2 linked regions of the Callithrix jacchus genome follow. The protein of the gene in region 1 interacts with the protein of each later gene in a pairwise test. Links are inferred from orthologs where the notes say so. Each region holds a gene or a part of one and is shown on either strand. Other genes may lie near its edges.

Evidence for each region.
Region 2: the proteins of EXOC1 (region 1) and RESF1 interact in a two-hybrid assay, tested with the Homo sapiens proteins (2 studies listed by BioGRID and IntAct). The link is inferred for Callithrix jacchus from reciprocal best matches to the Homo sapiens genes EXOC1 and RESF1.

Annotation. Positions count from the first base shown.
Region 1 is NC_133504.1:140,906,475-140,910,615, reverse strand, and holds the start of EXOC1 (exocyst complex component 1), read left to right. Parts: upstream 1-1,333; 5' UTR 1,334-1,453; exon of another isoform or gene 1,454-1,613; intron 1,614-4,141.
Region 2 is NC_133510.1:39,568,020-39,572,040, forward strand, and holds the start of RESF1 (retroelement silencing factor 1), read right to left. Parts: upstream 2,809-4,021; 5' UTR 2,733-2,808; intron 1,460-2,732; exon of another isoform or gene 1,361-1,459; intron 1-1,360. UniProt on the Homo sapiens protein: Plays a role in the regulation of imprinted gene expression, regulates repressive epigenetic modifications associated with SETDB1.

The sequences.
Region 1 (4,141 bases):
GTATTTTAAGTACTGTTGACTACAATATATTAATCTGAGTAACAAACAGTTCCCTGCTATTGCTGCTATTTTTTCCACCAAATTATGTCTTCAAATAAATACTGAAAGATATTTTGCACAGTTCATTTGTCACTTGCTCTATGAATCCATCTCTGGAAGAATTATTACTCCCTCTTTTGCATTCCCATGGTAGTCAGTCTCTTTTTTTTCTACCACTGTTGTTGAGTTTACCTCACTAGACTGTAATTTATGCACTTATTTAGTTCTCTCTCCCCACTGAGTATGTCCTTCTTCTAAGTGGGACCCCTGTTTTGTATCTCGAACACCTAACACAATGCCTGGCTTAGAGGTGGCTCTGGTTATTTGTCAAATGAATGGCATGCATGAATGTATTCCTGCATCCCCTTGCAAAGGACTGTGTTGAGCAGGAGCAAAGAAATTGCTCCTTTGAATTTCTAGCTCACTTATCTGATCTGTATCTCTTTGGTCACTTATTTTGTGTCCTATTTTATATATATTTGTATCTACACCTTGTCTAGTCCTACCACACTGGGAACTCCTTTAGGGTAAGATTTATGCCTGAATCACCTCTGTACCTGGAATCAAAGTGTCTAGTGCAGAAAAAGGTGCCAGGAATACGGAATAAATAAGACACCTACCTCGCAACCAGCAACATTGGCATCATTTATGCCTCCCAAACTTAAATCTGCATAAGTATTATCTTGTTAAGATGCAGATTCTGATTCAGTAGATCTGGTGTGATCCAGAGAGGCTGCATTTCCTAAAAGACCCCAGATTATGCCCAAGTAGCTACTCCACGGACCACACTTTGAGTATCAAGGTCATGGGAACAGTGGTTCTTGACCATAGCTGTATATGAGAATCATCTGGGACCATATTAAAAGTACTGATGTCTGGATCCCACCCGCAGAGAATCTGATTTAACTCATTTAAGCTCTCCAAAGTTTAAGTAGCAAAGATCTAGAGTTAATAGAGCTTTACATATGAAAAAAGGAAAACATTTAATCGAATTTCTTCTTAAGTGAATTGCTGCAAATATCTGAATAAATAACACTTTTAGAGAGAATAAATACTACACAGCATAAAATCCCCAACTCCCAAGTCAGTTTCTGTGCCAAAAGGCCCCGCCCCTGCCTTTCCCTAACTAGCCCCTCCAGTGAGGCCTTGCTCAGCCTGGCCACGCCCGTCGGCTGGCGCCCCGCCCCTCCGCGTCTATTGGCCACTCCTTTTCCCCCCCCCATTCGCATCTTTTTCCTTCTCTACGGGGTCAGCTTCCGGCGCGGAGTTTGTCACGTGCACGGATATAGGAAGTGTTGGGGGAACGGCCACTTCCCGTTCAAGGCTTTATTTAGGGGAACATCCTCGTGGCCCCCATCCGGTCTCCGTTTTGAAAGACCCGCCTCGGCAGAGCCGGGCTCAGTTCGGCCTTGCGGTAAGCCTTCGGCCACAGCTGCTCGGTAGTTCCGGCGGCGGCGGACAGACGAGCTGACAGACAGGCACCAGGGTCTAAGGCGGCTCCTCAGTCCCGCTGCTGTCTCCACGCCCGGGGTCTGACACCGCTCCCTCTGACCTTCCTTTCCCCGTTTGTCCCGGTAAGACGCAAAGTCTGGTCAGAGCATTCTCCAGCCCCTTGTCCTCGGGTCTGGGAGAATGCGGAGCTGGGAGGGCAGTCTTCATGGGCCCCATTACGGTTCCGCCTATCGGATCCAGATTTTGTTTGTGCAAAATGGCCCTGATCGTACGCTCTTTGGCGTGCCAGGAGAGGAGAGCGTGACAGTGCCTTCCCCTTTGTCCAAATCCACATTTCTCCCCGCCCCCCACATCTCTTAAGTGCATTACCCTATTTTCATGCACAGTTTTATCTTCTAGATTACAATACTTCATGCACTAATATGTCTCAGCAGCATACAGGACCCAGTGCACACGGGCACTCACACTGACCACAGTGTGGTGGTCCAACTGAGTTTAAGGAAACAACCAGTACAGAGTAAACAGTGGCCGGCTGCCTTTGGAACGTGGTCACACATGGGTTCTCAGACCTGGAAAATAATTTTAGAGGACTTCTAGGGATTTATTTACAGACTTGCTGAAAAGTACTGAAAAGACCGAAGTTAATCACTCGACTTGCAGAATGTAAATGCCATAGAAGCACGCGGCCTCAGGTCTTTATGAACATGTCTGTCATGTTGACCACTGTAACCCAGAGTAGTGTCTAGCATCTACTAAGCATCAGTATTTGCTGAATGAAGAGTCACATACTGCTTTTCATTATGCCTAACTTCTTTATGAGGTATGCTCTGTCCTCTCTTGTTTCGCCACTCACTGTACAATTCAGTTGTTGCTTTTAGCCAGAGCAGGAATATGGGTAAACGTTGGTCCGTATTAGTCATTCATTTGACTAGTTTTTACTATTCAGTTCTAATTCCCTTAAGAGATATAAGTATCCACTAAACACAAAACTATCATGAACATTCCTCCCTTCTTTCTCTTTAAGAGAATTCTTGAGATACAGAGGCTTATGATTTAATGAGCCCATTAGACAGCAAATGCTTGATTTGTTTAGCAAATGCAGTAAGTGCTGTAGAAATTTAGAGGAGAGATCAATTTGGATTATTGAATCAACTTCATGTAAACCATGGAGTGTAATTAGGGTTTGGATAGGGTGGAGAGGATATTCCTTACATGGAAAGCACCAAAGTGAAGATTTGACATCCAAAATGAACAGAGTGCTTGGGGTGGAAGGTTTGTTTTTGAGAACATTAGGAAAATGTTGAGTAAGAGCATGATGTAATACAAACTGTCTTTAAGATTATTTTGTTGTTGTTTAGGGTTGTGGGGCCATGCAGAGAGATAACCAGATTTTGTAGGGTTAAATAAAATTGATAGGAACCTGAGTTGGTATATTTACAGTGGGAAAAGAAAGGAATAAATTACATGTAGATGGGGGAAAATCAGAGTGTGATATCAGATTTCATCTTGACAACAGAAGAGGGAATCAAATATGGTGGATTTTGAACCTGGACATTTGCTTATAGGTGTGAAAGTTGGAAAGGGGGAATCTTGGAGGATCTATAGCTGTCATGTCAGTTAATTTAAACATTTACCAAATGCCTAATTTGCCAAGATCTAGGAATGCAAAGATGATTACGACATGGTACTGCTTTGAGTAGGGGATAAAATACAACTAACTAGAAAATACAATTCATAAATGCTGTTTTATTTATGATGGGAAATGTTAGAGAAGTAGAAAATATTCTCTGCGTGGGGAGGTGGCAGGGAGGGGCTACTTTACAAAAGAGATGACATTTTAGCACATTCTTGAGGGATGAATTTTAATTTCCCAGGGAGAAGAGAATTCTAAGAAAAGAAAATTGCATGAGCAAAAGCCCAGAGATAGAAAAGTAAACTGGCCAGTGTACAATGGGGCTTGGGCTTAGGAAGAAACAGAGTATCTAGGCCCTACAATATATTAAGGGATTAGCTGCATGGACACACTATAACAGACCAAAAGGAGGTTAGGATGGGTGAAGGTGTAGAGAGATGGAGAAGAAAGCAGTTGGGGATAATTGTGTTTCTATATTCTCTGCAAGGTAGGTTATTAAGTCATTTGCAGAGAGGAAGGAGGCTAATGCTAGAGTTGGGAACTGAAGAAGAATAATAGGGATTTGCAACAATAGTCCTGGGGAATAGGAAAGGATTCATCAAATGAAAGATTAATTGCTGAGCAGCACGGAAAGTCTAGCTTTCACCAGATGTAGGTATTTGTACTGCATGAAATGAGCATGGATATGTGGCTTTTTTTTTTTTTTTTTTTTAAAGTAGGAGTTTTGCTCTTGTTGCACCGGCTGTAGTGCAATGGTGCGATCTCGGGTCACTGCAACCTCCGCCTCTCAGGAGGCTGATGCTTCTGCCTCAGCGCGAGCCACCACGCCTGGCTAATTTTGTATTTTTAATAGAGAAGGGGTTTCTCCATGTTGGTCAGGCTGGTCTCGAACTCCCAACCTCAGGTGACCCACCCACCTTGGCCTCCCAAAGTGCTGGGATTACAGACGTGAGCCACTGCGCCAGGCGAATATGTGGCTTTTTAAAGTGGCGTCTGGTAATCCAAGAGAAGTGAAGA
Region 2 (4,021 bases), on another chromosome or scaffold:
ATCAATTCCCTAAGCATTCGAGCTCCAACTATGTCCAAAACACTGATCATCTAGAAATGAAGAGAGATTCCAGTACAATCACAGAGATAATGTTTAAGAATGAAGCTTCGGGCCAAGTTTGCCCTGCCTAGGAATTCAGTGGACGCATTTTTTTTTTTTTGAGACAGAGTTTCGCTGTTATCCAGACTGGAGTGCAATGGCGCGATCTTGGCTCACCGCAACCTCCGCCTCCTGGGTTCAAGCAATTCTCCTGCCTCAGCCTCCTGAGTAGCTGGGACTACAGGTGTGTGCCACCATGCCCAGCTAATTTTTGTGTTTTTAGTAGAGACAGGGTTTCACCATGTTGACCAGGATGGTCTCGATCCCTTGACCTCGTGATCCACCCGCCTCGGCCTCCCAAAGTGCTGGGATTATAGGCATGAGCCACCTATGCCCAGCCATGGAGGCATTTTTTATTTCAAACAAGCCTGCATGTAAATCCAGAAGTGGACCAGTAGTGACAGTACTTCCTAAAAAAACAGGACCTACAAAAAAGAGAATCTAAGAGGATCTACACTGATGGGCTTAATAACAGAAAGCTCACGAATTTAGGGCTTAAATGAACCAACTGAATGTGTGCTAAGCCAGTGTTACATGTCCCAGGCCACAAAACCTATTTCCTCTCACATGACAATAGCTAACATTTATTGGGCACTTAACATGTGTCAGAAGCTGTTTAAGTGTGATATGCATGAAACTCATGTAACTCTACCACAATAATCCCATGACAGGAGTGCTTGCCCCCATTTTATAGATGAGAAAACAAACGTTTATTTTCCCAAGATTGTACAGATACTGGGCGCTGAGTGCTAGAGCCAAGATCTGAACCAAAGCAGTGTTACAGGGACCATGGTCTTAAGTCATGAGGTGAGACTTCCTAACACATTTTGTGGTTACAGGATGAAAGCCCGGAACATGACCACTTTGGCTGTACCGAAGCATCCTTCCAGAGTGGTGCTCTGAGCCACATTCCCCTATGTGCCACAAACAGTAATAAATAAGAACAATCAAATTAAGAAACACAGCACAAACAGAAGCAGACCTCTGCCCGGGTAACCTCCACCACAGCTAACCTTACCACAGACCTCTTCCTTATTTTGCTAAGATTAACAACTGATTTCTCAGCACCATGCCAACAACATAATTTCTTCAAGCTTTGTCGTCAAATCCACTGCGTCCCACAGTTTAATTTTTAACCAATGTGGATTCACCGATAGTAATTTTGTTCCATAAAATTTTATCCCATAAAACTACTCCACAGTTAAGTGTGAGTAACTGCCTGGTTAAATCGGGGTGGGTTTCTTAGAGGTGACATACTTACCCTTAAGCACAACTTTGCTCTTTAATTATTGTGTATGCTCGTTCCCATTTCCCGCCAAACATGTCAGTCTCCCTCCACCCTGTATTTACTTCTTTGGTCCTAGGGACATCAAGAAACGTTTTATAATTAAGAGTATATGCTAATGTGTTTACTGATATGACATTGCTGTGCAAAACTTTCCTTTAAGGCTGCACTGAAAGCATGCTAAGTTTACTGAATTCTTATTTTTATTTTATTAATTTATTTATTTATCTTTTTTTGAGCTGAATTCTTATTAGTTCTGGCCTGAAAATACCGTTCACTTAAGATAGAATTTATGTGCGCTCCTCTAGGTCCGCTATCGTATTATCGCTTCAAAACAACACTTTCTCTCTGCAGTTGTCTTTATTGGATTTGGTATTAAACAGAAAAAATCAGACTGCACAGAGGGGAAAAAAACTAAAACCTTAACATACATGACAGTGAAACATGATTAAAGCTAACACATTTAGCAGAAAAAGACAATCCCCAAACAAGCTCTGAAACCCGCCTTGAAATGCACCCGACTCCCCTCCCCGCAAAATGAAAATGCGCCTCAAGCTCATACACATCCCTGTCTTAAGACGGTCTGCACTCGATGTACTACAAATAAAACTGTTTTCACGGAAATGATTCCCCGAAAGTTTGCTGCCAAACTCAGGACCCTAAGGATGTTCGCTTAGGGAATCCGTATCCCTCGAGAACACCTAAGATGGTATGCATTTGTGCATTTAAAAATGCCCGAAGGAACTCTTGCTGAGGAACAGAAAGCATCTCCGGCACAGAAGCGTTCGCGGACCACTTGGAGATGCGAGTAGAGCAATTCCGTGCCAGGAGGCCTCGGGTTAAGAGGGTCGGGGAGGAGAACGCTCGGAAATAGCAAAACAAATATTTTCTTTTTCACTCCAGCGACAGGAAAGCCTTAAAAACATAAGCAGCTCTCACACCCACCCGCCTAGCCAACCGCTTCTCAGTTCAACAAAACGCGTCTTCGCCCTCGCCACTCGCGACCTCTACCGCGCAGAGCCAGGCAATGAGGGAAAACAGCCAGCGAGGCCCGCCCTCCGGTGCAAGGCTCGGCGTCCGCGGAGGCCCAAGGCTGGCCCCGGCGCGGCGGGCAGAAGCGAGCGCGGCGGCCCGGCCCAGCTCCGGGCTGCGGACCGCCGGGCACGCGAGCCGGTGGGGCCAGAGGCCCGGCTTCCGGGGCCGCCCGCGACTGCGTCCTCGCAGCAGAACAAAAGCGCTCTGCGCCGCGGGCCGGCCCCAGCCGCGAGCGCCTCGGGCTCCCGGCCCCCGCCCCACCCGGGTCCCAGAAGGCGAAGAGGGGACCTCGGGGTGCTCGCCTCACACTTACCAACCAGGGAAGAGGACCACCCCGCCAAGCAGGGAGAAAACCGACAGCCTCCCGGGCCCCAGAGTTTAAGTCAAGTGGGGTCCGCCTCCAGGGGCGGGTCGAGGAGCCAGGCCCGGGATCCAGGAACAGCTGGGCTCCGCCTCGTGCCGGAGGCGGTGGCTGCGAGGGCCGGGCTGCCGCGGTCCTAGTGCCACCCAGAGGAGCGGCGGCCCGGCCTGCAGATAGCACCGGAGCTTGCAGAGCGCTTTTACCTGCTCGGCGCGGTAATCTCGCGCAGAGATCTATCTTTCACGCGCACCCGAATCACCCAGAGGGCATGTTAAAGAGGGATTGAGAAGCACCTGCAAAACTGCTGACTCAGTAGATTTGGGGTGGGGCTGAACATTTGCATTTCTAACAAGTTCCTGAGACGTACTGTGGCTGCTGGCCTCAGGAGAATTTTTTCTGTAAAGCGCATGGAAGAAAGTCGGCGTGCACTCAAAAGATTGTCAACCCTTAATAAAAAGAAAAAGAAAAAAAGGAGGAATCAACAGGTCAGAGGCAAATAAGTGTGAAAGAAAGTGGATAGTCTATTTGGGGATTCTGGGAGTCCCTGAGGAAGGCTGACTTTGGAGACCGGATCACGAAGCACGACCTCTTAATTGCCGACCTTTTGTTATGGATTAACTCCCTTACTTTCTTGTTCCCAGCTCAGACCAGATGGCATTTGAGATAAAATTCGCCTTGAAAAGGATAAACCACCCCTTGACTATTACATCCTTAATGTGGAATGTTAAATAGACCCTTCCCAAAAAGAAACACTGCCTAAAACCAATCAAATTGCTCTAACTATGCGTTAATCTATGGAAAATGTTGACATCCTATTAAGCTTCCCAGACCTTGCCTATATAAACGACCCTCAAACTTCTCCATTTCGAAGCACTGACCTCCATCTTTTGGAGTCTGCGTCCTACCAGGTCGCCATCCTCAATCTTTGCACCCAAATAACCCAATGTTTATTCATACTGCTCGAATCTCATCATTAAGGTTTACATAAGCGTTTATTCAGCAATGAAGGTTGCAGCCAGGATAACAAATCAGAGATTGTGCCACCGCAGAGGGGCAGGGGAGCTTATGTTTATAGGAATTTATTTGTTACATAAATTGTCAGATTATTTCATTGGTAGATTAAACAAAGATGTCTTTAATCATTAGAAGGGTGCATTTGCATCTGTCAGAAACAAAACAAACTATATACAGAATTTTTTTTTTTTTTTTGAGGTGGAGTCTCGCACCGTCGCCCAGGCTGT